Rhinolophus ferrumequinum: one gene and its partners. The main gene of each other region encodes a partner of the protein of the gene in region 2 in a complex. Links are inferred from orthologs where the notes say so. Each region holds a gene or a part of one and is shown on either strand. Other genes may lie near its edges. The genes, in order: INTS1, INTS2, INTS6 and INTS9.

Evidence for each region.
Region 1: the proteins of INTS2 (region 2) and INTS1 are in contact, whole or in part, in a cryo-EM structure (PDB 8RC4), measured with the Homo sapiens proteins. The link is inferred for Rhinolophus ferrumequinum from reciprocal best matches to the Homo sapiens genes INTS2 and INTS1. Residues at the interface, in NP_065799.2 of Homo sapiens: Pro40, Leu54, Lys69, Leu72, Arg73, Leu75, Ser76, Gly77, Val78, Glu79, Val81, Asn82, Val85, Gly125, Thr127, Leu128, Glu131, His132, Glu166, Val172, Tyr173, Glu176, Arg322, Gln325, Gln326, Arg329, Gly400, Lys402, Thr769, Met772; in NP_001073922.2 of Homo sapiens: Gly561, Ile562, Ala563, Trp564, Asp565, Lys566, Gly567, Ser982, His1055, Met1056, Thr1058, Pro1060, Glu1095, Arg1096, Thr1098, Ile1099, His1102, Leu1107, Arg1225, Ser1250, Phe1251, Gly1252, Ile1253, Tyr1285, His1288, Glu1291, Val1292, Gln1293, Glu1295, Arg1296.
Region 3: the proteins of INTS2 (region 2) and INTS6 are in contact, whole or in part, in a cryo-EM structure (PDB 8RBZ), measured with the Homo sapiens proteins. The link is inferred for Rhinolophus ferrumequinum from reciprocal best matches to the Homo sapiens genes INTS2 and INTS6. Residues at the interface, in NP_065799.2 of Homo sapiens: Ile855, Asp856, Pro857, Leu858, His895, Arg923, Glu925, Leu926, Lys927, Ala929, Leu930, Ala932, Ala933, Gln934, Ser936, Ala937, Gln940, Ile941, Glu944, Asn1010, Lys1013, Leu1014, Phe1017, Gln1018, Gly1019, Tyr1020, Pro1021, Ile1046, Ala1047, Gln1048; in NP_036273.1 of Homo sapiens: Ile484, Val486, Arg487, Ser488, Arg489, Phe527, Gln528, Val529, Ala530, Leu531, Leu532, Asn533, Phe541, Arg542, Asn543, Ala544, Tyr545, Ile547, Arg549, Leu552, Leu553, Leu556, Met559, Arg560, Asn562, Leu563, Leu564, Lys565.
Region 4: INTS2 (region 2) and INTS9 share a complex: the UniProt entries of both Homo sapiens proteins name them as parts of the integrator complex. The link is inferred for Rhinolophus ferrumequinum from reciprocal best matches to the Homo sapiens genes INTS2 and INTS9.

Annotation. Positions count from the first base shown.
Region 1 is NC_046307.1:43,930,759-43,937,921, forward strand, and holds the start of INTS1 (integrator complex subunit 1), read left to right. Parts: upstream 1-4,142; 5' UTR 4,143-4,415; coding exon 4,416-4,473; intron 4,474-5,071; coding exon 5,072-5,362; intron 5,363-7,163. UniProt on the Homo sapiens protein: Component of the integrator complex, a multiprotein complex that terminates RNA polymerase II (Pol II) transcription in the promoter-proximal region of genes.
Region 2 is NC_046304.1:25,988,850-25,995,694, reverse strand, and holds the start of INTS2 (integrator complex subunit 2), read left to right. Parts: upstream 1-3,826; 5' UTR 3,827-3,888; coding exon of another isoform or gene 3,889-3,892; coding exon 3,893-3,911; exon of another isoform or gene 3,912-4,179; intron 4,180-5,121; coding exon 5,122-5,428; intron 5,429-6,073; coding exon 6,074-6,212; intron 6,213-6,845. UniProt on the Homo sapiens protein: Component of the integrator complex, a multiprotein complex that terminates RNA polymerase II (Pol II) transcription in the promoter-proximal region of genes.
Region 3 is NC_046287.1:86,291,267-86,298,100, reverse strand, and holds the start of INTS6 (integrator complex subunit 6), read right to left. Parts: upstream 3,014-6,834; 5' UTR 2,500-3,013; coding exon 2,389-2,499; intron 1,998-2,388; coding exon 1,920-1,997; intron 1,112-1,919; coding exon 962-1,111; intron 1-961. UniProt on the Homo sapiens protein: Component of the integrator complex, a multiprotein complex that terminates RNA polymerase II (Pol II) transcription in the promoter-proximal region of genes.
Region 4 is NC_046301.1:29,853,036-29,860,981, reverse strand, and holds the start of INTS9 (integrator complex subunit 9), read left to right. Parts: upstream 1-4,940; 5' UTR 4,941-5,026; coding exon 5,027-5,035; intron 5,036-7,946. UniProt on the Homo sapiens protein: Component of the integrator complex, a multiprotein complex that terminates RNA polymerase II (Pol II) transcription in the promoter-proximal region of genes.

The DNA of each region.
Region 1 (7,163 bases), on a different chromosome or scaffold from region 2:
TTGGTGGTGGCGATTCTCAGTGAAAAACATTGCCTGGGAACCACGATTAGGACATGGCTTGGGTTTCCGGGATATTTATTTATTTACTTTTAAGGCAAGTGCATGAGGATATTTTTCTAATTTCAAACATAGTATATGCTCTTTGCAGGAAACTTGAACAAGCTAAAACAGGGAAACAAAATTCTCTGTAGCACCCCGTCCCCTCCCCACAACAGTGTTGGGGACATTTTGATCGTGTAGGGACAGTGAGACAGAAGAGGTAAAATCAGGTCGTCCCAGTGCCCTCCTGCCCCAGAGCTGCTTGCCTGAGCCTAAGTGAACAGAAAGGGAAACTGAGGCCTGAGGGGGTTGGTCCAGCCGAGGGGGCACAGGTGTCAGTGGGAGGGAATGTCTCCCGCCCAGTCAGCTTGTGCCCAGCGCACCCCAGGCACACCCCTGGAAGTCCTGTTTTGGCGAGCCGCAGTTTTTCCCACAGCAGCACACCTGGGGGGCAGGTGAGGTGCTGGTGCCCTAGTCCTGCTTCCTCAGCTTCACATCCCCAAACATTTGGGGTGCCCGTCATCCAAAAACTGGAGGACTCAGGGCCTCTCGGGGTCAGAGACCTTAGGTCCACCCCCTGCGAAGCAGTCTTCCTGCTCTCTCTTGCTCCCTTCCCGTGATGGGGGACTCATTTCCTCGTGAGCCGGCCTGGTCTATTTTCAGACAATTGTTGGAAAGCACTTCCCCGCCTCCCGCCAGAGGCTGCCTTGCTGGAGCTTCCGTCCAGCGGCCAGGGTCCTGGGCACCGGCCCATGAGAAGTCATTGTCGCCTCCTCCTGCTCTGGCCGAGAGCCTCAGCCCAGTGGCATCTCCTGGCAGATTCCAGCGGTGACACCGCACCCACCTGCCCCTCCCAGGAATGCTCATCAACAGAGGAAATTCTAGAAACCTCCATCTGAATGTAGATGGGTCTCCCGTGCCGCCCAGGAAAGGGCATCTGAGTCCTGATAACTGCTGACTCACTGCTTTGAAACTGTCACTGAGCTGCTGTGGGGCTTCCAGCACTGGTGAAGCACTTACTACATTTAGGGGACGAGGTAGGTGGGAGACGACCAGCCCCACAGGCACCCTGCGGTTGTTCCCCAGAGTCCCTCACCTCACCCCCACCCCCCACAGTGCTGGGAAGTGCCAGACCTGGGCTGGGCAGGGACACCTGACCCGCGCAGGGAGGCCTGGGCCCAGGCCACGCAGGTGGGAGCAGCTGCTTCCTGGCCCAGAAGCCGTTAGACCCGAGCAGCTGCAGACCTGCCACGTCACCCATCTCCCCTTGGGGGCCTGGGGCAAGTCCTTGCTCACTCTGTCCCCACCCTGCTGGCTGCCCCAGGCTGCTTTCTACTGCAGGAACTCCCTCCTGCAGTGAGGGGGAGCCCACCACACAGTCAGTAGGCCAAAGAGGGGGGGAAGGTTCTCACTGTGGCTGGGGGGGTCACAGCAAAGACGACCAGGGACCGTGGGGGTCCGAGGCCTGATACTTCCCTCCATGCCAAACCGAGAACCTAGTTCCTAACAATTATGGCTCCTGTATGGGACCTTCCGGGCTGAAGGCTTCACACTCATCCTTCCCTCATCCCACACACATCTACTGATTGTGGCAGGGCCTCTGGGTCCAGCAGGCGACGGGCAGACCAGGTGCGGCTGGTGGCTCACTGGTGGCTTACGTTGGGCAGGGAGGCAGGCCATAAAGAAAGAGACAAATAGGGGGGTAACAAGATCCCAGGGGTGGCAGTGTTCTAAAAGAAGGTGTCCAGTGGGGGCTGGGGCCGTGGTTATAGGGACAGGGCAAGAGGAAGGCCAGGCAGGGCGAAGGGGCCATGGGAATGCCTGAGGGTCCTGACACTGGAGCAGCATGAGGACAGGCCCTGAGATGAGCAAAAGGCGGGTTCCAGAAACTGCAACAAGACCGTGGTGCTGGGACAGGGCAGCGAGAAGAAGGGAGGCAGATCCCAGGCCTAGGGTCCTTGGTGCAGAGCTGCAGCACCCACACGGACCCTCAGGACGGACCTTATTTGGAAATCGGTTCTTTGTACATCATAAGGATTGAGGTCGTCCTGGATTAGAGTGGGCCTACATCCAATGACAAGTGTCCTTATAAGAGCCAGAAGAGGAGACACACACACCAAAGGGAGATGGCCCTATGACAACGATGGAGGCAGGAAGGACGGTCCCCTAGAGCCTCTGCAGGGAGTGCCCTGCAACACCTCGTCTCAAGCTGAATCAGGCCACCTGGTCTGGGGTGCGGTACAGCCACCCCAGGGAGCTCACACAAGAGGCATCTGTGGGGAGCCTTGGTGTCCCCCACGAACTGCAGCTACTGAGGCCCCTCGCTGCTCTTCCTCCTTCCTGGGCTGGCTAGGCTGACCCCTCAGGGGAAACAGTCCTCCAGAGCTGCTAGTGAAGTGTCCATCTGACCCCACGCCCTCTGACTGCCATACCCAGACCCAAGCAGCCAGGCTTCTCTAGGCTTTGCTCTGCCAGCTGGTCCTAGGGAGGCACTGCCCCTGAGCACAGCAAATGTCCATGACAGAGGGGCCAGTAGACAAGCATCCACTGCCTGCTGGGGTGGGGCAGCCTGAGGGCTTCACGGAGGAAGGGACGTAGCTGGGAGGCTGGGCTTTGAAGGATGAGGAGGAGATTGTCCAGTGAGAGAGAGCAGAGAAAGCCAGCCAAGGAGGGGCCAGCACAGGCAGAGCACTGGCCGCCGCCCTGCCTGACTTGTCCTGGGCAGGGAAGGCTGGGACCTGAGCGGCCGGCCATGGGAGGGAAGATCCCGTGACAGCCCCACAGGACAAGTGCACTCTTCTTCTTTTCCTAGTGGAAACAATTCACATAATTGCAATACTGAAACACAGAGCGAATGGATGGCTTGCATGGCCTGCCCTCCCTGTAACCTCGGGAACCACTGGGTGTATTTCTTTCCAGAATTTGTCTACTTTTAGATAGAGGCGGTCACTTACTATACACTGGTCTATAACCAGCTTTTCTGCTGACCGTGGACTGTGTTGCTCCATCACAGAAGGGTTGTTTGGTCCTTTTGCAGCAGCTTCTGAGAAGAGCGCTGACGGGACGCCCCGTGGCTGCACTGACAGTCCAGGTTGCCGCACCCCTGACTTTGACCGTTACCAGCCAGCAGACACAGCTGGTCCAGTGCATGGACGCTGACCACCTTTTGTGAGTTGTCATCTGATCTCTGCCCCGTTCCCTCTGCTCCCTCCAAAGCTCAGCTTCCCCTCGCTGCCAGTAGTCACTCAACACGATGCTTCACAGCTTTAACCCACGCCCAGTGCTGTTTACCTATGCCAGCGGCCTTTCTGCAGCGCGTGATCTGTTGGGAATGTGCTATGTCTTTACCTGCATCCGTCTCCTTTCACGCGGGCTTGAGCTCTGAGGGAGCCCTCAGGGCTTTCCCACAAGGAGGTCACCCAGCAAGTGGCCGGGCTGCAGGCAGGGCTGTTGCTCTCAGTTCCTTGTTCCTGGTGGGACGTGGACTACAGCAAGAAGCCCCAGGACTGCTGAGAAGCTCTAGGATGGGTGAGACCCTTAGCACAGAAGGGCATGAGAGTCTCCGTCAGCATGGAGCCCCCGTCCTCTGCATCAGGAGCCTTGGTGACTATGACAGTGACCCACTGTGCAGGCCAGGACACCGACTCTGATTAGGGCTTGGCCTCCATGCCCCGAGGACGGGCTGGAGTTTGTAGGCCCCTCCTGCTCTTCTGCACTGTGCCCACTCCTGGTCCCTGGGCTCCCTCCTAGCCTTCCACCTTAGGGACCCCAGAACCTGCCCCTTGAGCCATAAATGGGAGAGCAGGACTCTGAAGGACCAGCACGTGTGTATTTGAACCCCGATGCTACCCTTCCTCGCCGTGTTTCCTTGGGCACGTCACTAAATCACATCATCCTCACCTGCAGAAAAAGAGGGTGACAGCTGCCTCCTCTCCGGAGAGACACAAGCGGCAGAGAGGCCCCTCCGGACTCCCGTCGCCAGAGGGCGCTGCAGGCACCGAGCAGGCGACGTGGCCCATCTCACCGCCCTGCCCGCCCTCCTCTCGCTGCGCTGTTTTGCTTCCGGTTATCCCGGAAGTCGGGTCTGTGAGGTCGGTTTCCGGTTCCGGGGCGGCCGGGGTGGTGGTGGGGCGCTGGGTACCGTGGGCCACTTGTAGGAGATCGGCGGCAGCCGGCGAGATCCACTCTCCCGGCGGATCCGAGGCGGCGCTCACGCGGCCCGTTCGGACTCGCTCCGTCCGGCGGGGCCCATTCGCCCCCAGACCCCGAGCGGCAGAGGAACGAATGAATGAGCGAGCAAGTGGAGGACCGCCTCGGCGCTGGTCTTCTCCCGGGTGACGCGTCACAGCGAGGAGCAGCGAGGGGAAGGGGCCGGAATGAACCGAGCCAAGCCCACCACCGTGCGCAGGCCCAGCGCTGCGGCCAAGCCTTCAGGTGCGCGGCTCCTGCCTGCGGCGGCGGCGGGGCCTTAGTTACTCGCCGGCCACCGTTTTTCAGGGATCGGGGGTCGCCTGGCCCTTGGTCCGAGGCGGCTCTCTGAGTCCCAGGGAGAGTTGGGACAGCTGTGACTGTCTCCAGGACACTGCTGGTCTCGTCCTGCATCGCAGGCAGTAAAAAGTAGCTGAAGGAGCTCCCGGGCCCGGAGGCGGGTGGTTGCAGGCAGACTGGAGCCCGGCTGGCCGCAGATCAGCCCTGGCCACTCGCTGGCTGTGTGGCCGTGGGCACGCCACCTGGGCTCTCTGTGCCTTGTTGTGCTCTGTAAAGTGAGAGTAACGATGCCCATCTCACATGTTGAACAGGAAGCAAACTAACGCGTGTGCATCAGAGATGGCCTGGTGTGTAGTAAACGTGTGTGACTGTCAGCATCGTCGTTACTAACGTCATACTGGTCCCAGCTCTGCTGTGGACGTGCTGGGCGACTTGTTTTCTTGTCACCCATGACCCTTGTTTCTGCTCCTCTGGAACAGCGGGAGGTTGGATTCACCTCCACCGACGTGTGAAGGTGCACATTTCTCCCCTCCCTCCTCTGCAGGGCACCCTCCGCCAGGAGACTTCATAGCTCTGGGCTCAAAGGGTCAGGCCAATGACTCGAAAACGGCATCGACCCTGCTGAAGCCTGCCCCTTCCGGCCTGCCTTCCGAGCGCAAGCGGGATGCTGCGGCCGCATTGGCCGGTGCCTCGGCCCTGACTGGCCTCACCAAACGCCCCAAACTCTCCTCTACACCCCCTCTGAGTGCCCTGGGGCGCCTGGCTGAGGCCGCAGTGGCAGAAAAACGCGCTATCTCTCCCTCGATTAAAGAACCATCTGTGGTCCCAATTGAAGGTAAGGTTGGTCCCTGGACTTCCCAGAGAATGTCTCCCACACCTTGTCAGCCCAGCAGGGCTTCAGTGAAGGCCCAGTCCAGGCTTCGTGCTGTAAGGCTAGCAGGTTCTTGGAGAACGGAGAACAGGGGTCATCTGTGAGTTTGTTCATCAAGGTGCTTCTCGCACAGGGGACTTTACCCCACTTGTGCTTCCAAATTCTAGGACAGGGATGAGGAACGTGACCAGGGCAAGAGCAGAGGACAGGGGCTGGGTCTGGGGCCCAAATGTGCTGCTGCCGCATGGCAGGAGCAGGCGTGGACGTTGGGCGTATCACGGCTCCGGCCTCAGTGGCCTTCTGTGGGAGGCTGGCTTCTTACAGTTGAGCAGACCAAGCACATGGCAGTGCTTCATCACTGGGACGTGCTGTACAGATTGGATTGTTTCCCCTTTGGGGAGGAGCTGCTGTGAGAGTCGATGCAGATGGCCAGCAGCTGTCCTCTGGAATGGGCTGGTTCCTCTGGTTCACTTGTCCGTCAGACGTGTTTGTTGGGCCCCCCTTTATGGCAGACTCTGCTCTAAGCACTGGGGATACGCAGTGCCGAGGCTGACCGGGTGCTGTTCACTCAGGCTGTGCGACCTCGTGAGTTCCTCTCTAACTGGGATGAGGAGGTTTGCATTCCTTTTCCCTTTCGCCCCAGACACAAACAACGAAAAGTTTACCACCCTCCTTTTTCCCCTTTAGCCAAAAAGATACTAATACAACATGAAGAAAATCTGAAACTTACCTTGATCCTATTGTTTACATGAAGCTTCTGGTTCTGCACGCATCTGAAACTGCCCCTGCTTCTCTGCCTTCTTCACATTGATTATTTCTGGTGACCCCATGACATCCTGTAGATCAGACCTGTTAGGTATCTAGCCGGTCCCAGATGTGCAGGAATAGGTACTTAGCTGACAGCCTTGGGAGGAGAAGGCTCATCTGGAAGTTGTAATGTGACGTTGGCCTTGAAGGATTGATCAGATTTTCAGAGGCAGTCAGGGATGTTGGAGAAGAAACCACTAAGCAGAGGCCTGTGTCCTGGAGGTGGGACTGTGCTCAGGGCACGGGCGCATGTGGGCAGCATGCAGAGCGGTGGCGGGAGCACTGGGAGCCCCAAGGACGTGCAGAGTCGAGGACTCAGCTGGGACTGTGCTTTGGGAATGAGTCCGGCGGCGCTGCCTCTGACCTTGACCTTCGATTCAGGGGCCCTAACCTGTGCGGCCAGTGCTGGTGAGGACTGAGCCCTGACGGGCTGAGGTCCAACTCAGGCCACAGCTCTTTGAGTTACTACCTGTGCTTGTTATTTTTTTAGCATCACCTTCCGTAAAAGGTGGTTTTGAAAATTAAATAAAATATGGTTATTAAAAACCTTCTGAACGATAACATACTTCACAAACATCTTTAGAAAACAAAGGGCTGTTTATCATGTCTGGGACTTGGAATGTCTTCAAGGCAGGATCTGCCGTAATTCTAGTCCATCCGTCCGTCTGTCCCACCCATCTGTCTTTCCTTCCTGGCATCTGGAAAGCATTCAGTGACTGTTTCTGGGTGTCTTTGGTGCAATGAAGTTAGAAATCAGTAACGATACCTCCCTCCACATATTTGGATATTGAGAAGCATAGTCTCAAAAAACTCTTGGGTCAGAGAAGATAAAATGAAAATTAGAAAATATCCAAAACTGAACAGAAATAAGTGCCACATAAAGGGCATGTGCGACAGAGCCGAGGCACTTCTGAGAGGGCCTCAGAGAAGCACATGCTGACTGGTAACTAGGGGAGGC
Region 2 (6,845 bases):
GACCTTAAAGTTACTGAATTTAAACTATAAATTGTAACGTCATTACTGGACATGTGTCAGCATCAACTCTCAAAATAGCTTGGTCACTTTATGAAGGGGCATTTTAAAGTTGTTGTTTAGCAGTGACACTTAACATGGTCAAATTGCTTTTTTTTTTTTTTTTAACGTGACAGAAAAAAGAATAAGGAACAAACACTATTGCTGCCGAATGCCATAACACTGAGTTGTACAAATTGTGATTGAGGAAATGAAAAGGTTTATACTTTTTAAAAAAAAAAAAAAACAAAACTTCAAATGGAATAAATTATTCATGAAGCCTTCATTGTGGTGTCTCATTCTGTTGAAAATATTTCCATCTTAAATTTGTGTAAAAATTAATAGCAATATTACATTTGTATCATTTACAAATGGAGAGGGGCAACCTAAAAACTAATTGATGAACTTTTAACTTCTCCATCTGAAGTATTTTATTTTAAAAATAGATTTTAATCAAATAGCAGCATATAATGTATAGGAAAATTGTATATGCACATACATACTAATTCCTCCTAGGCTGATCAGTTTGATACCAGTTTTCTAGTCTAAACAAGCTACCTTCAAATATTTAAAGCATAGTTCTATCCTATTTTTGGATCACATAAATGTTTTTGAAACTTAAGAAGTGTTGTTCAGATATGAACAATCCATCAAAAATAGATCTGTCCATTTTGTATAAACGACCATGTTAAATATTTTTGTCCAAACTTAAGGACAAACTCCATAATTGTGGTCATTTTAGAATAGCTTCTGCCAGCAGAACTTTTAAAATAATTCTTTAAAAGGATGTGTATGTTGTTGGAACTTCTATCTTAAAATTATTTTCTGTCTCAGTTTATATTACCTCTAGTTTTTAAATATTTTTTTTACTATCATGTATGACTAAAAATAACTATGCAAATCAAGCTTTTGGGGTGAGGCAGGGGGAGGTATTTACTTACACAACTACATACAACCTTTCTTTACTATTTGTAGTTTTCAGTATTGAAAACGAAGCCCTGTGCCTGACCACTGCACTGTACACCTGAAGGTGAATAATTTTGTATGTCAATTATATAGTCACGGGATATGGAGTACAGCATAGGGAATAGTCAATGGAATTGTAACATACAGACGATGTCAGAGGGGAAATAGATTGGGGGAAGGAGGTTATTACTTTGTGAGGGATGAAATGTCTAACTATTCCATTGTTTTCTACACCTGAAACTAAAAAAAAGGAAAAAAAGGAAAAAAAAAAAGGAACCCTGAAAAATGCTATTGAGTGGCTTACTCAGAAGGAATTTGTTTTTCTTCAATAGCTAAATCAAATGTACAAACCACAAACTCTTCCTTGTAAACAGTCATAAAAGACTGTCAGTCTTGTTTACTGACTATCAAACATGTTCATTTCTGCCTTTATTGACCTTTGGGATGATTCATAATTGGCGTAACAATCATACCCAAAAAGGCTTGATTAGTGGAGCTATGTCAACTTGGTGGGGCGTCTCTAATGCTATATTATAGAACCTTGGCGGGATCTTATTCTAGTCAACATTTTATCTATAAAATCAATGAAGATAAGATCTGTATAGCCAAAGCAGATAGCCAGTGTAAAAGAGGGTCCAAAAGATCTTGACAGGCTGAAACAATGGAAGAAATCTTATAAAAGAGGCACACTATGGAGAATGAGTTACATGTTGAGAAAACAAGCTAGGTGTCTCCTGAGGTCCTTTTACTTTTGAAACTGTGATTTTGTTTCCAAAGAACATTGGTCCTCCTTTACCTCAATCTTCTAATTTCTTGAAGTTCATTTACTCAGCAATAAGCTACGTTAAAGCACCTAGTACTCCTGAAACTAGGTAATTTTTTTCCTTTTTGTTTCTTCTTTTCTTTCTCCTCCCTTTCCCCAGGCAGACTGAAAAATAAAGTAGAAAAGAGTAAATCAAAGTAAGCCAGTCAGAGGTGAATGTTTACTTCATCCACGAAGGAGTCGCGACTTAAAAGTGTAGGAACTACACAATATGTTTCATCAAATCTAAGACACCAGTAATTGTAAGACATTATTTTATATGACACTAAGAAAAAATGCTAAGTATAATTTAACACACTTGATTTTAAGACATCACAATTTCAGAGATGTTAAAATGTGATAAAAAGTCATCACAGAATTAATTACATCTTTTTTGTGAATAGAAATGGTAATGAGCCTCAGTGCTACATTGGTCTTCAAAAAGGGTTATTTCCTCAAACATTTTACAATCAGGAAAAGGTACACCCTAATTATGTAAGATACTGCTTAGATAATTAAAGGTTTTGTGATTTATTGGCAATTAAATGGGCTAATTTGTAGCACTATTTGCCATTCGGGGAGTTCCTGAATCGGCCTAATTAAACATCTGAGCTGAAAAGTCTTTATAAATTGATTTTAGTATAGTTAAGTAATCGGCCTCGGAGGATACAGTTCTAAAACTCAAAAGCTTATGAGTGAGTTCTGTATGACTGTCAAAATGATTCCATTGACAAACACTACAATGTAGATTTGAAAAATGTATTAAGTGGATATGAAGGGGAATGGCTTGAGAAACTCTGGTGTTGGTGGTGATATTTACTGAGATAAGAATTGGAAGAGAAGAAAAAGGGGAATTGAAGGAAGATAAGTGTCAGCACTCATCACCATTACACTCTAGCTATCTCATTCAGGCTGGACATGATTTGTTCTCTGTAGATCAAGATGGATCTGCAATGTTTCTCTAATGATTTCAGGGTCATAAAAAATTAGAGTTGGAAGAGATCATAAAAATCAGTTCATTTCCATCTTCTCACGCATCCCCCAAACCCGTGTTTGAATTCTCTTCATACTCTTTCTGTGAAAGGACCAACCAGGGAGATTAAATTGCTTAATCTCAGTCTCAATTTCCACAACTGTAAAATGGAAATACAGAATTAAATCACGTAATTATAAGATATAAAGTACTAGTGCCTAGCAAGTGTTCAATATATAAGTCCTTAATAAATACCATCTTAAAAATGGAAATGTTGTATAGTTGTGAAATCAATTTGTGTGTAGTGACCAGAAATGTCAAGTGAAATAGAATACATAACAATATGTGTATTATTTCATAAAACGTTTGTTCCATATTTAAATGCGGGTATATCTGCATCTGTGTTTTGAGGCACAATGTAAAATGTATTACTGGAGGCCAGGCAGAAAAACATTTGAGACACACTGCAACCAACATATTCTTTTTTTCCTTTGCTGATTTTTCATGTTGAAAGTAGACCTATTTTTAGAGATTATCCCTCTGTCAAAGGCTTGGAAACTATGACGTACTCGATCTCTAAAATGAAACTCCATCCATTGCTCTCTAAGGATCTACAGACCGTAAATTAAGAACCCTTAAACATCTGAAATGCAGATGTTTTAACTCTGTGAGGTCGAGAGCGGAAGAAGGCTCGGGATTAGATTCCTTTTTAATTTTTCCTCGAAATCCTAGCATTCTAGAACTTTGGTGCTGAGAGGGAACATAGGCAGAGAGAGTGGTTCCATTAGTGTTCCGGTCAAAGAACAGTGAGTACAACTTTAACCTACGTTATCATTTGAATGCCACGATAATTCTGTGATGATGAAATTGCAGCTCGAAGGGGCTTAATGATGTATGTAAAACGACACAGCTGATAGGCTCTGGGAAACGGACCTGTAGCAAGCTCTAAACGTACTTCGGAGGAGAAATTGGGCAGAGTGAACGGCGGGGGAGGAAGGGGTGGGACCGCGCAGGCGCACCGATGCCTCAGCGCGGACGCCTCTGGGTTTCCTCTCGCTGCCGTCCTTCCTTTCAGTCCAGTACGGTGGCCGACGGGAGCCAGACGCTGGGGATGAATGAAGGTGCTGGGTGCAGGTTGAAGCAGTCTCCGCTTTCCGCTCCCTTCAGTCTGGGTTCTCCCTTTGTGCGGTGTCCCCGCCCAACTCCCATCGCACCGCTGACCCGATTGGTCCCGGCGTCTGGGTTCTTGGTGCCGGGGTCGACTCAGGGCACAGCTAGGGTTGGGGAATCCCAATGATCGCGTAGGCCCCATTTCGGACCGCGCTCTCGATTTCTACCGCGTCCCGCCTGTAGGGTGCGGAGTTCGTGTGGGGTCCCGGGAGGTTGGAGCTTAGATCTTAAGGTATGAAGCTTCGGCTTGTCAGGCCTCAGCGCGTTCCCCGGCCCTTGTCGGCCACCCGTCGGACTTTTCTCAGCCAGAGGGACCGGTTGGTTCTCATTACGCCCGGGTCGAGACCTATGAGCACTCGGGGCCTGGCGCCTTTGCTCCATCAGCCCGCCCCTCTGTTAAAAGGCCAGCTCCTCTTGCTAAAAAGCAGCGTTTCTGCCACGACTGTTACCCATGATGGGTTTGGCAGACTGGTCCTTGCCCTTTTTATTTTTTTATTTGTTGTCTCTGATTACTCCTGAAGACAGAAGTGCCCAAGGGGGACTCAGCTTTCTTCCACAGCTAATTGCACCTCCACAATTGTTTTTTACCTGTGGTACATAGGATAGTGTTAAGGCCTCCAGAACTTTGAATCTGCCATTGCTTCTAGCTATTGAGGCAGTTTACCAATGCTGACTCTTGGAGTCGAACATTTTTTACATATATTGTGTAAGCATGTGAAACTGAGGTAGGAAGAAGAGCATTCTTAATTATGCCATCTATTTACTTTTATTCTAAGTTGTGGCGCTCATGAGCAGTGTAGTGGAGACAGCCTTGGACTGGGATTTAGTAGACGAAGGGTCATCCTTGGCTTTTGCTACTGTTAATATTACTGTGTATGGTCTTGTTACTTAATCTCTCTGGGCTTCATATTTCTTCTTTGCGAAATAAGAGTATTAGAAAAGAAGCTCCCTAAGGCTGGAAGAGACATTAATATATTCTGTTTTCTTTGTCATCTTCCAGATGGTGGTAGAAACAGAGGGAGCGTGTACTTGTTCCAGAAATCTGTTGCCAACATAGGGGCCCTTTAAAGATAGATCACATTTTTCAGGGTGTTTAAAAAAAGAGGGGCATTGGTACATGTGGGAATACACCCCTATTTTCTTTCTTTTCTTTTTTTTTTTTTTTTACCATTAGGATCAAGAGTGATAATGACTGAGTGTACAAGCCTTCAGTTTGTCAGCCCTTTTGCTTTTGAGGCAATGCAGAAGGTGGATGTGGTTCGTTTGGCATCTTTAAGTGATCCAGAATTAAGACTTCTCCTGCCTTGCTTGGTGCGGATGGCACTTTGTGCTCCTGCGGACCAGAGCCAAAGCTGGGCCCAGGATAAAAAACTCATCCTTCGCCTTCTCTCTGGAGTGGAAGCTGTCAACTCCATTGTTGCATTGTTGTCTGTGGACTTCCATGCTTTAGAACAGGATGCCAGCAAAGAACAGCAGCTTAGGTAATGTCAGTTATATAATATGTGGACTAGGATTTAGTTGGATTTGCCAAAGATGAAGGAATCAAATATTTTTTGGAGCTTTTCAGACTTTTTATTGGATACAGCCCTCCAGAAAAGAGAAGATTGAGAATTTAAACTTTGGAGAGCATTTTACTTGTTTTTGTCTATTTATGGTTAAAATTCTTTTGAATTCCATGTTATAAAATGTTGTGTAGAGAAGTTTGACTATATACACTGTTGTATTCAGGCTAAACTGATTAGGCCAATTACTCTCTGTGGGAGGTGGGTAGGTTGAGTTCCCCTAGAGTAGAGGGATTTATTGGAATTACCTGGGAGGCTTTTTAAGCCTATATCCCCCCAAATTCTGGTCAGATATTTTGTCTTTCTCCCATTATAAATCCAGTAGTGAGCCACTGTTGGTAATGGCAGTGGGTGTTAACTATCATTTGTGATGAAATCTTTACATAGTTCGTGAATTTCTGAAATAGGCAAACTAAATAGTATTTCAGAAGTAATTCAGTCATGAAATGTATGCAAGGAATTTATACAACTTTTTTGTAGATTATTTCAATAAAAGATAATTTTTCTGCAATTATATCTATACCAGTGTTCTCATAATTGTTTTACACATTTGTACTTTATCAGGCATAAACTTGGAGGAGGCACTGGAGAGAGCATCCTGGTATCACAGCTTCAGCATGGACTGACATTAGAGTTTGAACACAGTGATTCACCTCGTCGATTGCGTCTTGTGCTTAGTGAACTGTTGGCAATTATGAACAAGGTGCATTTATTTTAATGACAGCTCAAAATATGCATGATTTGATGATGTCTACACATAGAAGGTAGAAACAGAGGCAAGAAGGCAGGCAGGTTGTCCTCTTCTACACCCATTCCTATTCATTATGTATGTTTTCCTTTCAACGGCTTGAAAGGATCTTAAAGGCCTGCCTTAAAGGCTTTTTTTTCTCTTAAATACTATTTTCTCTCATTTATGCCTATTCTGCATTCTCTAACATAGGACTTTTTTTTAATATGGAGTTCATACAATGGCTTTTTTTTTTTTTAATTTTAAAAAAATTTTTTTTGGGGGGATACTGGGGAACAATGTGTTTCTCCAGGGCCCATCAGCTCCAAGTCGTTGTCCTTCAATCTAATTGTGGAGGGTGCAGCTCAGCTCCAAGTCCAGTCGCCGTTTTCAGTCTTTAGTTGCAGGGGGCGCAGCCCACCATCCCATGTAGGAGTTGAACCGCAACCTTGTTGTTAAGAGCTCATCCTTTAACCAACTGAGCCATCTGGCCACCCCCATACAATGGCTTCTTGATAGTTAGAAAGGTACTATAGCTCAAGACTTGTATAAGCTACCGAATTTGTTAATACCGTTATAGGTATTCTCTCATAACGTGTGATATGTAAC
Region 3 (6,834 bases), on a different chromosome or scaffold from region 2:
ATGAAAACCGTGGCTTATGGAATTTGGGAAAAGAACAAAATGTATACCTAAATGTATCATTGTGGTAACAGTGCTTTGCACTACAGCATAAAAAGTGAATTCCTTGGGTTTAATACTTTTATGTGTAACATTACACATTCTTCAGTATCTTTTATTTTCCAGGCCAGCAATCTCAAAAAAAAAGTTACAGTGGACCACCTTACATTATTCCATAACGAACCGTCATGTGATTTAAAGCTCCTGTCTCATCTTCAAATAGATAAAAGCAAGTGTGGATGGAAGGGGGGCATTAAGGAAGGAAGGAAAGGTTCTTTCATATTTTCAAACAGCCTCTTTTCCAAGAGTTTGGAGTTAAAAATAAATAAATAACCTCTGGACCTGCCATTTAATTCAGGAATGAATTCAGAATCCTTCCTGCATAGTTGCTTATTATATATGCTTCAAAAGCTGAGAAATCTTCATGTATTCAGCCAATTATGACACTTTAATGAAAATCTTACCTTTCAGAGTAGTTGTACACTATGGTTAAATTAAACCCTGATACAACAAATAGAATAATTTCCTCTAACGTTTTTAGTACTATATAAATGAAGACCACTAATCAACTAGTGTCTATAATTCATTGCAGACTAACTGCCTGTGGATAGAGTATCAGAGAAACTGTGTGGTGAGGCAGGATGTTTTCCCTTTTATGCCCTGAGTGCAAAGTATTAAAACCAATTTATGTCAATCTTATAGCAAAGAATTCAGATTCTAATTCTGAATGCAAATATATTTTAAGAAAAAAAAGGCTATAAAACCACATACAGTTTAGTCAGTTTCACTTTTGTATTATGTGTACAGTGTATTTTAATCTGAAATGTTTTATACTTGTATTTCATGTTATGTAGTTTTGGACTGGACTGTGTTTTTCCACAAAAAGAAAAATCAACTGTTTTTTCCACCTTAATATTCAACCTACCTGCCCATAGTTGTCTATGCCAGTTACTAATCTATTTAAATTTAATAAATCAAAAGCTGTCCTTAGGGATTGGCCAAGAGTCGTAAGTCCTTCAGCCTGAAGGTTTTTCAGTTCATTCATAAACGTTGCATGGTTTTCTTTCCACCCGGCCTGAAAAGAAAAATTTAAGACTTTTTTTTATTTTTTAAAGCTTTGCATACATGGACAGCCATTACAATCTGTGGTTCATCAAGTAGCTGCTTCACTTTTCAGGATGGTTTGGTTAATGATGTGTTAAAATCGTATCATTGCTGAGGAAACTCTCTTCCAAAGGTGGCCAAGAATAAACCTGTCTGCGCTACTGCTTTTGGTAGCTAACAGGATAACTACTTTGGAACTTCTCTGGGAAATTTACTTCTAACCTAATACCCAAAATTTGGGGATGCAAAGTGCTAGTGGAAAGCAGACATGAGGACTTCTGAAGTTAACCTACAGCTGTCCCACTGGCCCGCAGCCCTCTAGGGAAGAATCCGAAGACCAAGCCCCGCAGCCTCCTAACCGGCTCACTCGCCAGCAAGGGCGAGAGCGGCCAAGCCTCGGGCCGATTCCCCTTTAATGCAAACCCGGGCTCGGCGCGGCCCGGCCCGGCTGTCACTGGGGCTAACTTGAATAAATATCCCCCACAGTTCATTGCTGCCGCTCACGCCGCGGAGGGGAAATGTCGGCCATGTTGATCGCAGCGCCGCCGCCGCTGCCGCCACCGGGCCGGGCTGGGGAGGGCATGGCGGTGGCCCCGCGACTCCGCGCCGCGCCAGGGCGCTCCGGAGCGGGGGAGGGGGTGGGAGCCCGCAGGGGAAAAGACTTCAGCTCCTGGAGCACAGCGGGTGGGGGAGGGGAGCATAATGAAGGGTGAATGGGGGGCGGGGAGGGCGAGCGAGGAAGGAACTGGGAAGGGAAGGGGGAGGGCGAGGGCTGTTACCTTGATAGCATAGGGCGGCTCTTCGAAAGTGACCAGCATATACCTGTCTCCTCTGCTGGCAGGATCCCGGGCACGGAGCTGCGGGAGAGCGGGTGGGGGACGGGAGAAGAAACAGGGCGAGCGAGAGGGAAGCACAGAGGCGAGGTTACTAGGCGGAGAAGGGGTGCCCAGCGGCCCCACCGCCCCCCCACCCCCAGTACCGCACACGCAGCGGCCACCCCCTCACGCCGCCCCCCACACACAGATCGGCCCCAACACACCTCCCGGGGCCGGAGCCCGGGCCCCGGCCGAGCCCCGCTCGCAGCGCCCGCCCGCCCGCGCGGTGGGGGAGGGGGTCCCCGAGCCCGGCAGCTCCCGCAGTCAGGTCCCCGACACCTCCGCCTCGCCGCCCCCGGCCGCCTTCCCTGCCACCCCAGCCGCCCGCGGGCCGCCGGGCCGGGATCGCCGCCCGGGCTCGGTCAGTCGGTACCTTCATGAAGGTCTCTACCGCGCCTTTGGCCGTGTCCAGGTAGGTGGTGCCCAGATGGCTGCGCTGGTTCATAGAGGCAGACGTGTCTATCAGGAACAGTAAGATGGGCATAGTGCTGGCCGGGGACACCGGGGCCCGAGGTGGTAGAGAAAGAGATGGTAGAGGTGGAGGCGCCGGTGGCGGCGGCGGCGACCGCCGCTACGCGGGGCGGGGGAGCGCGGCCCCCGGGAGGAAAACACCGTCTGGGTCTTTCCTCCGGCTGCGGGGAGTTTCTCCCCCGATAGTTGAGAGGAAACTCCCAGACCCAGTCCTCCCCGTCGTACCCCCTCCTCCGCCTCCTCCTGCCGGCCTGCCCGCTAGGGCGGGCGCCCGGCCGTCTGTCTGTCGGTCCGTACTCCCCGCCTCGGGGGTCCCGTCCCCGCTCCCGGCCCCTGTGTGTGTCCCAGCGGGAGACGGGCCTGGCTCCCCACCCCACCCCCGGTGCAGGGAGTGGGGACCTGGGAGCTGGCGAAGAGGGGAGTGGGCTAAGGGGAGATTGGCCCTGGGGCTGTTGGGAGAAGTTTCAGGGACTCCCTCCGCACCCCGGCTGTGTCACCACTTTCTCAGCCCCTCTCGCTACTGAAGCGCTTTTCTCTCTCACACTCCGGTTTTAACTCGGGCAGGGGCTGCAGCGGCTCCGCCTCCTGACACGTCCTCGCGCCACGTGACGCACCGCCCCGCAATTCAATTCGTTAATCTCTAGCCTCTTATTAGCATATTCAAACAGCTCAGGGGAGGGAGAAGCTTGTAGGCCGGCTCCGAGAACTGTTATTGAGCACGCGCGAAGGCGGGGCGTCGGGTGCGCGCGAGAGCGATCGCGAGGGCCGAGCAGGCGGGTCGGCAGACGCGGAGGCGGGCTCCGGGAATGGGCGGGGACGGACCGCGGAAGGATCGCGGGGGGGGGGTGGGAGCCGCGTCGGCGCGCGCAGGACAGCAGCGGCTGAGTCTGCGCGTCAGTGCTGCCGGCCTCTCCTTGGCTGTTGGAGGTGATAGGGGTCGAGGGAGGGGAAATGGAGGCTCGCTTCATCTCCCCTTCCGAGGTCGCTGTAGCGAGCCCCTTCCCTGGTGGGCACATGAGGAGGGGATAAATATAGGATCAAACGCCCAATTAGGGGAAGGCGGCAGGCCAGCGGTCTCCGGAAGAGGTTCCTTGGTCTTCAGAGGGCCGGCCTCAGCGTAGGCGGACCCAGAGCGGGGGAAGGGAAGTGAGAGGTTGTTTATGACGAGGGACTAATCTCCGCGAGTCACAGCGCTCCCGCTGGGGAGTGGGGACGAAAGACAAACCTCACCCGCAGCTCCGCTCAGCCTTGGGGAGCAGCCGGGGTGAGGGCTGGACTCGGAGCAGGCCAGGACCCCTCTTGTTCGAGGACCTACCAAGAAAGGATTCAACCCACTTTTTTCAAACAGCCCCAAAAGGGGATGGGAAAAGAGTTCAATATCGACAAACAGTTTGTTGCCCATTTTATTCTTAGGGGAAAATAACCGGTTCTACCCAACGAAATACTTCTCTCAAACCTTGTTTACTTAAGGGCCATAGAATACCGATTTCAGAGCTAAAAGGGGCGGTAGCAAACCATAATGAATTACTCTTTATTTTTAAATGAAAAAACTGACTTCAGCTTGCCCAGGTGACCCAGAGAATGGGGTTCCCATAACCCTGTCTGTGCTTTCCTTTCACTATTTGCTGCCTCTCACACTCATTTCAAATACAGTATGAGGGAAGGCGTTCTAGGTTAAAACAAGCCTCAGTCGTCATACCTGAAGTAATGAATCCTCTACACTAGTTAAAAAACTGAATACTGCCTGAAATACAAGTTGAATTAGGGACATAATAGTTCTCATAAGACTGTAGGATTTTTTTAGGGCCTCTCTTACTAGGCCTTGCATTGCGTGTTTTTTTGTTTCACTCTTCACGCTGAAATTCTTTACTGATCATTTTAAGAAGTAGTTCCTGTTAACACTGAAGAGACATGCTTTGTGGCCCTTTTTAAAAATCTTCACTTTCATAACTTGGACTCTTCCTAATATTTAAAACAACCTCTGAACTTTTAGTTTATTGTAGGGCTATTTCAGTAATACGCTGTCCTGTGAGTGTGTGCCATAGAAGAGAGATTTTTAAAGAGATTGGGACTGCTAAATAAGATGAAATACAGGTCTTACATGCAATATTTGCTGAGGACCCCAGGTGGAGTTAAATGATTAAAATATGGTCCCTGCCTTCAAAGAGCTTATAGTTTTTCTAGAAAAATACTACATTAGTATTACTAGCTACTACAAGGCAGAAGTGATTAGATACTAAATAACTCAGAAAAGAGAAAATGTATTACCCTGGGGTGATGAAAGAGCATTTTCCAGGGTCAGTATGTTTAAGCTGTGCCTTAAAGCAGTGTTTCTCAAACTGGGGTCCTAGATCTGGAGCTAAGACTCAGAATTCTTTGATGCTTTAAAATTTTTGTTTTCATTTTAACGACAATATACAAATTGTTTTACCAGTTAAAAAATATATATATATTTTTTTACATATATATATTTTTTACATATATAATATATTTTATATATATATTTTATATATAATAATATATATATATTTTTTTTAACGTGATAATTGGCAACTGATTTTCATGGAATTGGTCTACAGTTTTTCTATGTCAGTCCTTTTCAAACTGTGGTCTATGGACTCCTGCCTGTCTAAAAATGTATTCTATAGAATCATAAGAATTTATTTTACATTACTCAGGTTTGAGAAATACTCCTTTAAAGGATTTGGATATATGGGTAGAGGAAGAGGAAGCTGCCAATGAAAAAGTCCTAGACATTTAAAATGTAGTGAAGAAAGTTAGCACAGCATTGTCAATGGCTTTCTGGGAAACAGTGAAGTACATACAGCAAGACTGCCGCACCAGCTACACAAAGAATAGGATAACATCCTGAAAGGTAGGTCATGTCTAGACAGTAGAGAGCCTTTATTCCAGGCTAAGGATTTTTGTTTCCGTATAAATGAGAGTTTTTAGATGGGGTGCTGGTACAAAGCAGTGTTTGAAGGGAATCAAACTAGCTTACTGAAGTGGGTGACCATGCTTTACAGTTACTACCTTATTGCAGTTATTTGAAGTCATTTTCCATGGAGCCATCGCTCTTTCTTCCCTAACTTGGGAGTTGGCAGATTGTCATACTAGGGTCATAAGTGGAGGTGTATGGTAAAGCCAGGATTAGATACAAAGATCAGGACAGCTAATTACAAAGACTAAACAGTGCGAGAGATTCCCACTGTTTTTCTTGGTGACTTTAGGCCTTGGGAAACATGAGAAACATGAATCTCTTTTTTTACTCAATCCCTGTGATTCTAGAAAGATTCTGGTTATATGCAACTTATTTTTCTAAAACATGGCTCCTAAATGCAAGCCAACTATTTCATCAGACTCAACTGAAGAAGTGGTGAGCTCTTGCAATGCTAGAGAGAAAACTAGTTGGAGTAGTGTGTGCTAAGCCCTGTGCTGTTGCAGTCTAGGGAATTAAGGAAGATTTTTCTGGGAGGGCATTGGTCAACAGAGATAAGTGGGAGAAAACTTGCTCTTTACTGCTGCTTTTAAAGGAGTGCTGCCCAAATGCTGTGGCTCCCATTTAAAAGAGAATGAATAAATTTTATGAAACCCTCTGAAAGAATGGTGACTCGGGCTTAACAATAGCCTAAATTGTGTAAATAGAGCTATTCTAACGGAATTGAAAAAACTGATGAATTAGATTGATTTGTAGAAGCCAACCAGAGCCCTTTTAAATTACTTTAAACCAATTAAACAGGGTAAACACGGTTTAAAAATAATTATGTGCCAATGACATGGCTTATGGTTTCTGGATGTGCCATCTGAACAAAATAATCAGATTAGTGTTCATGTGTAACCTAACAATGGTTCTTTTGGCTCACTTACCATTTCCTTAGCTCTCTGCTTTTTACTCTTTGAGATCACAAATAGTCAATGATGTTGAGAGGTTGAGAGCATCAAAAAAATGACGTAATAAGCATAAAAAATTAGATGTGAAACTATGCAGCAGAATGTATTCAGGTAATATATATACAAGAAAATGTATTTTGGTCATCCTAATATTATATAATATCAATCCTCAGGAAAACATGCTGCTAGGGACTACTATTAAAAGGAATTAGACCTTTCCATTGAGCAGTATTTCACAGTAATAGTTGAAGTTTGAGATAATTCAAGATCAGTTCTGAAAGTGACATATCCAAATTGAGAATGAGAATCACAGTAGAACAGTTTCTCTAGCAAAAGAGCATGAAAATTGCAATAATTTTTAAAATTAATATTAATTGCACACCTATATGACAGGCACTATGGTAGGCCATAGAGAGTTTATAATCTAATGGAAAGACAGAGGCAGATAAACAGGTGA
Region 4 (7,946 bases), on a different chromosome or scaffold from region 2:
AAAACTTACTGTAACTTCAACCTTATTACCACTATAAGGGTAAAAAAAGCCAGGGCCTTCCAGTAACTAAATGCTCTTGGAAAGTGTCCAAGACAATGTTATAGTAAATTTCCAACTTGTTTCATCTAAGATCAAGAAAAACAAGTTATCTAAAGCACTGGATTATGTTTAAATAGGCTCTAACTAAAAGTTTTACGTCAAATAATCACTCGGAAAAATCTTTGTACTTATGATGGGCCTTAAGTCCAGTAAAGGTCACCGGGGGGAATAGCTGCACGTAGGAATCTAAGTCCCATATTACTTAGTATGATTTTGAGAAAAACGTTTCATACCAATAGCTTCCATTTTGAGAGAATGAGATTTTGGCAGAATCTGTTAAAGTAATGGTTTACAATGATAATGAAAATCTCCATGGCTTCTCTCATGTGGACAGCATGTGGTGATGGTTTCTCTCTGGTTTCTAGCCTGAGCCATTCTCTCGTCTCCTGTTATTTGTGGTTCAGCTTCCTTTTGTATGGGTTGTATGTTTGATAGGTATATACTAATTTCATCTACAAACAAACATAAAGGTGCTGTACATGTGTGAGTGCATATGTGAATATACGTACATAACACTCTTGACACACTGGGACTTCCACTGATAACAACCGTTTTAGAAATTAAAGTTCTACTCAATTGAGAAGTAGAAGCTAGCAGTTAAGAGAAAAATCTAGCCAAAGAGCAAAGGGAACTATAATAAAATTAACTCGGGAGACAAAAAAATCTAAATAAAGGTTCATGAAACAAACAAAGCCAGCACTCTTTCACCGAGCATCTTTATTTATAAATGTTGACATTTTAAAAAAGTTGAGGGGTACACCAACTTACATTTATGAAAAATGACACTGCAGGATAAATTTCTAATTCCCAAAAGAAATAATTCAAGTTTAAAGATCTGAATATAAAAAAGCTGAGGTGAAATGAACAGAAAAAACAAACACGGTTTTATAGGAACCATGAAGCTGTCTGAAACATTAAAAGTGGGATAGACTGATTATAATATATGAAAGACCCAAAATGAACAAATTAGGCATAGATACTTCCATTGTGTTTACCATTTACTGAAACAAGCAATGACTTCCAATTAATACTTGCCACAAAAGTTGCCATAAATTAGCTACTTCTAATTTTTCAAATGATGAACAAAGGAGAGATTTGTTGCAATCTACTTTGTAACTTATCAACACTGAGCTATTAAGTTTCTATTAGTGATGCTTTAACCCAAGGATTTGTGCTAAGGAGACTGAAATCTGTTACTACAGTAGTGAAAATGAAGCCTCACTAAAAAGATATTCAACGTAAAGCTGACCCCTAAAGGCTTCTTAATGCACATTTGCAACCACAGTGTTCACGATATGCAGTACACTAACTAGCAACAGATTGGTTAAAAACAGTTTGGATTTTCAACTTCCCATAACACAGGCGGCATTTTTAGAAGCAATCATATTCAAATAAATGTGTCTTTTACAGTTACGGGATGAAATCTTCAGCTGGACAGGCACCAATGCCCTGATTTTCTACTTTTTTCGTAAACCATATGACTTCCACATGCTGAGAATGTTTTATGCTTTAACCTGCAGTAAAGGCTTTACATCATTTTAATGCTCAGGGCTTAAAATACAACAGAATCATCCCAACAAATGCAAGGAAAATATTTGGTTTACTTTTAATTATTTCAACCAGACGACTAGACAGAGAAAGTTGAACGAAAGCTTTTCCCATAACTTTGCATTTCCACAGAAAAAAACAAAAAGAAACTGAGGTAAAGGTGGGTGGAAGAAAAAATACTCTTATCTTTTCCAATCCTTAACAAACATTTTAGTTTATATTTCTAATATAATTATTGAATATTTTAATGTTCTATGTCTAACAGAGTATCTTTCAGCCCGGAAAAAAAAAAAAAAAAAAACCACTCTATTGTGAAGTTATGTAGGATTTTTCTCCAATTTTTGCAAAGTAATATTACAGTCTAAGATAGAAGGTTTAAAAAGTCTGGAAATCTTAGTCTTTAACAAACTAAAGGCTCAGCTTTATAGCAATATATTCTATATTAGAAATTCGAAATTTAGAAGACATCAATTTTTTTTTTCTATTCAGGTCAATCTAAATATATATGCTATCTCATGCTTAGAGTCAGCTTATCTGTGTGAATGATCAACTGCAGAAATTTCAAATGAAAGGTTATAAAACACACCATAAATTATATATTGCATCTCTGTGACTTTCAGTTTTTATGGAATCGAAGGTCCTTTACTGATAAGTTCAAGAATTGATGTTTGGAGCCAAAATGTAAACACACTAAATTTTCAACAGTTGAATGAGAAATTATATCAATTGCTTTAGTTATTTAAAAGTCCATTGCACTAAAAAATCTGTCACATGAGAAAGGTTACTGAAAAACTTCTATTTCAGACAGAAAGAAGTACAAAATATATGATCCTAAATTATCCTGGTGTAATGTTACCAAATATTAAAGACTGTGAGAAACAAGAGATGTTACAATCCTGTTCCCTTTATAACTCTACTGGAAACTTGGGGGGAAAAAATCAGAATTCGAATTTTCCAAACTTGTCTTGTACACATAATTCAACTAAATCTAACTTAGTTGTGCAATGTTAAAATAAGTTTAATGCAAAACACTCTCATCTTGATGTGATAATTACCTGTGGCTAAAAGCAAAATAAAAACAGACGCAGGTCCTTTTCATCTAATGATGTGTTTTACACACAAAACCACAAACAGCACAACCGTCTTAGCACAAACTAAACAGGCACAAGAGGCATTACGTCCATCCAGGAAGAGAAACGTACCAGGCCAAGAGAGGAAGGAAGGACTGAAGGAAGGAAGGAAGGAAAGAAGGAGGAAAGGAAAAGGGAAGGCTGAGGTCTCTATACCTGCAGGATCCCAGCGAAATGAACTAGTCACATCACTCTACGCCATATGAAACACGAGGGTTTTTACAGCTTCAAGGTACATTTAAAAAGCAATCACTTTATACGATTCAACTTTAGATAGTATAGTAGCTTTCATGCCAACTGCATTCTCCCCTTCACTCACCAAATGCCTCCTCACTCTTCCACACCAGGTTTCAGACAAATGCGAGACTGAACAGGGTGGGGTAGAAGCAAAACACCAACAGCGGCTTTCGGCGACTCCCGCACCCCCACCCCCACCCCACCCCCACCCCACCCCCACCTCCAAATAATTTCCAACAGTTTTCCCTACTACGAAAATAAGTCGCCCTATCTCAGGACAGACAACAGTCATTCTGTGTCTTTCGTAGACACACAGAGATGCCTACACCTGTCAGCACTCCCGACCCCCAACCCATGCCCACGACTCTTTTAAGTGATGTTTAATCTATTTAACGCGAAGAAGATGAGCTACCTCTACCTGCTGTTTCGGGGTGAGGGTGGGTGGAGGACTCCTTTCAAAGTAGCCCCAACAGTGTCACCAAAACACGGTTCCGGAATAAAATATTAAGAACACTTTTTCCTTTCCCACCTTATCTGCCGACTTCAGGAGGCAACATTCCATCTCCTCGCCAGCGCGTCCCCACAATGCTCCTGCGGGCAGTTTGGGGTGGAGATGTGTCCAGGGCATGGGGCGGAGGCGGGGAGGAGGAGTGCGATCGAGCAACGGGACACAAGCGAGTTGCTAAGCCCGCACCACGTCGCCTCCAGCCCACAAGTCCAGGATCCGGACCTCACGCCCGCTTCCCTGCCCAGGCCCAGTGAAAAGCTATGGCTCCAGCTATCGAACTTCCCATCTCCAGACATTTATTCGAGACTAACATATCGCACAAGTACACGTCACACAGTTTAGAACAGTTCTACACCCCCAAACAAACCCACCCACCTCCGGTTCACCTCACAGTTTCCCAAACTCCACATAGGAGACCCCACCTCCAGGATTCAAACCTTCCGCCCATAGTGAAGGAGACCAGGAGCAAAGAGTTGGGGAGCTGCCAACGCCTTTCAATTACCGCCCCCCACAAACTGCCCCACCCCAGACGGTGCGACCGGGTCACCATTCGGGAGCCCCCTGATTCCTCCCTCCTCTCAATCGGGCCGCTTAAGAGACCTATCCCCAGCCCACTCACTTTCGCCCCAAAGCCCCTCAAAAAAAAAAAAAAAAAGTGAGGAGAAAGAAGTGAGGAAAGAGACTTGAGGTAGTCCGGCTTGAAAACCTCTCGACTCACCTCGGAATCGTTGCTGAGTTCTCTCCGCTCGGCACAGCCCCCTCCCCAACGTCCCGGTACGAAGAGCTGAGATAGGGAGGAGGGGAAGGCGGGAGGGGGAGGGGTGTCTTCCGCGTGGGGCGCCTGTCGGGAGGGGACTGGGGAGGGGTTGAGGTCCGCGCAGGAAGAGGAGAAGGGGGAGGGGAGGCCCCTATCTCCCAGTCTCCCCCTGAAAACCTCCCTTGTCTCAATCACATCAGACTGACTGTCTTTGTCTGGCTGACAACCGCCATATTGATATCAACAGCCCCGCTCCCACCTGCTGCAGCCAGGCGGCCCTGGGAGTTGTAGTTCCTGCCTCCCTTGAGTAAAAGCGCGCGACTCAGCGTCCAGAGGCCCCAGGGAACTACAACTCCCGGCAAGTCCCGCGCCCATCCGCCTTCCCACAGGGAGGAGGAGAAAGGGGCGCCCGAGCCGTGAGAACTACACATCCCAGAATACCATGGGACCCAGGCCCAGACTCGGGACATGATATCATGCTGGGGTGGAGAGGATGAATTGGCGGCGGGGATGAATTTGAGCTGACGGAAGGAGGTATTTAGAGAAGGGAGGGAAAGAAAAGATAACTACAGTTCCCATGATACATGGATGACTACGTATCCCATAATGCCCCGAGAAGGAGGCGTAGGGAAGAAAAACTGCATGTCCCGCGATGCTCTCTGCGGGCGAGTGGCGGAGCTTGAACCGGAAGATCGCTTCTGGGTTTGAGGTGTCGAGTAACTGGTGTTGAACAATCAAAAGTCCAATATGAAACTGGTGAGTCTCCGCTCCTACTGAGGGCAGTGGCCATATCCTTTTGGCTTCGTCGTTTCCACCTTGGGAAGGGAACCATCGCGAAAAATGGGTGGCAATTAGGAAACTAGAAAGTGGGGTGGACTAAGCAAAGCTGTTTGTTGTTGAGGGGGTTAAAAATCACACCTCTGTACCCCTCACCTCCCACCCCCCATACACAACTATCAGGAGATCTTACACATCCTTGGTGGGTCCCTTTGGTTAGATAAGAGGTTGCCTGTAACATTTTTTCACCGAGGAACTAAGGTTGGATTTATGAACTAGGTTTTTGACTTCTCAGCTGCTACGTGAGTGTTATAATAGGTTATAAACTTATTTCCACGCAATTGACACTTGATTTCACTACCGTTGTTGAGAAACATTTGGTTATTTGTGGGCAAAGGGTAATATTGGGAGGAGGGTAATTACTAAGTTTTCTGTTCCTAATTGATTCCTAATTGCACTTGGAAGTCAGAGAAGGCCGAGGTTAGGGTGTACTCTTAGAGGCTTTGAGTCTTAAACCCTGTGGAGGATATGGATAGGCTGAGAGGAGGTACTCGTATTACATTCAGGAGCGCCCTGCTAGTGGCTAGATAGACGGCTGCCTGATTCATGAATCGCTTAATAAAGCCAATTAGATCTTCAAATTAAAAAAAAAAAAGATTACAGTCTGGGGCTGTAGGCGCTTCATGAGCCAAGGTTAGACGAACGTGCCAATACACCTGGCGTCTTCCCATCACAAAACTCAAACACCTGGCTTATAGGGACGCTTCTCAGGCCTTTCTTTTTAGCCATTTTACTGTCATTGTGCACACAGACCTAACTAATTTATTGCAACTGTGTGGAATTAATAGCATAATTAGGAGAGTAGCAAAGCATGTGTGAGATGCCACACCTTTTAAAATCATGTTCCTGCAGCCAAATATTGTCAAGCTTTACTTTCTGTGATTTTTATAGAAAAACAAAAGATTTATTTTCTTTTTCCATTTATATAATTATTTGAACATGTTTTCCCAAAGTATACATATCCCCCTCATCCCCTCTTTGGCCATTAAACCATGTGATGGGTATGTATTTACTCAGCCAAGTGTCGTCACTGTGTCGCTATTTTCTGAGAAGAAGTTAGAAAAAGTATTAAAAGTAGATTCAACTACAAAATTGTCTTCATTTAAAGTCCTATATGGAAGGAAGAGGATGAAGATCAGGAAACCCTGAGATTATCAATTTGCTCCTGGGTCAGTGTGCTAAATACCTAAGAATGCAGAATTGAAAGTCACCACCCTAGCCCTAAAGAATCATGCCATCTAATGAAGTTAGAAAAGTAAGCCAAAATTATAATTCACTGCATTCGTGATAAAGCAGAGTCCTTTTCAGGGGTTGGGGAATTGAGAGGATAATTGGAGATGGTGCTGAGCGGGGACTGGGGGGGCGTGGTGCCAACAGTCAGCTTCCTGGAAAAGTGACTCTTGAACTGATAAGAAGGATGAGTAGCCGAGGGCCTTCCTTGAATCTTCAGTTTAGGAGCAAAAGAGCTTGTGCCGAAATGGTTGGAGCACAGACCATGTGTCTTCAAGAAAGGATAAATCACATTTGGTGTGCCTGGTGAGAAGGCATGCAAATGTGATGCAGTTTTTCCCTACAAACTCGATTGCTGAGGTTATCAGAGAGCCGTGGTTTACTTTCAATATACTTTGGTTTGCTCATAATATCCTCCCGCTTCATTTCTTTAGAGATGTGAAAACATGGAAGGGAAAAAAGTAGAAATTATTTTCTTTTCTGTAAGAACCAGAAGATGCCTCAGAGGAAGAGGAGGTGTTCTGTCTATGGTCCCTCCTTTTTAACGTTCAATCGATGTATTCCATGTTAAAACTCATTTGGGATTGGATAAGTGGTAATGCAGAATTTCTGTCAACATAGCAAACGGGTTTCAAAAAGATGGACTTCATTAGACGTCTCTTTGTGTGACACGCCTCCCATAGAGTTGGTATAAATCCTCCCATGGCCTAAATGTTTTCACTTTGTGTACTGCTTCAAGAATATGTTGTAAGCAGTGCTTTACATTTATATCATGAAACACAGAAATATACTTTATTGAGCACATTCTTGTTTTTGAGATTATGACTTGCCAAAATACCCTTCCCACTCACAGCGTATGACTGCATCTTGTTGATGCTACTTCTGTTCTTCAACAGGTCTGTTTCTCTCCAGTCCCACTAATACTGCCTTTGTAGGGACTCTTTTCACTTGACACTTGAAATTCAACGAGACCTTCTGTCTAGTCTCCCTGCGTTCCATTTTAACCCTCTCTCCAGTTCATTCACTACCCTGCTTTCCGGAAGTTGTTTTAAATTGCAGAATTCTATAATTCCCTCAGTAGCTTCCTTTGTTCTTAGGATAAAGTCTTATAGCTCTTGACTTACTTGGTCCTGCAGAATATGGCCTTGCCTACTTCCAGGCTCATGTCTAGCCCTCATCTCCCTGGTTCTCTGTGTTCCAATTATATTGCACATCTTCCAGTTCCTTGAACTCTCCCTGCTGTCTTTTGCCTCTGGGAGTTTAAATATGTTCCATTGCCTACAACACTTTTCTGCCTGCCTAAATTTCTTTATATACTTCAGGTCTCTGTTTGAATAGCACTTCTCCATGGTTTTGTGGAATTAGGTACGCCCTCCTCTCTGCTTCCATGGCACACTTCCTTTGGTAGCATTTGTGATTATTGGATTTATTTCTGTCCTCCCTCTTGTAGACTCTCTATTCCCAGGGCCTGACACATAGTGTGACGCTGCTAAATAGCAGTTGAATGAATCATCTCTGAAGGATTATCAAGGTCTGTGAATATCACTGAGAAAAGATTGAGGGGTAAAGTTTAAACATTACAATAAGCTATAATCATTGG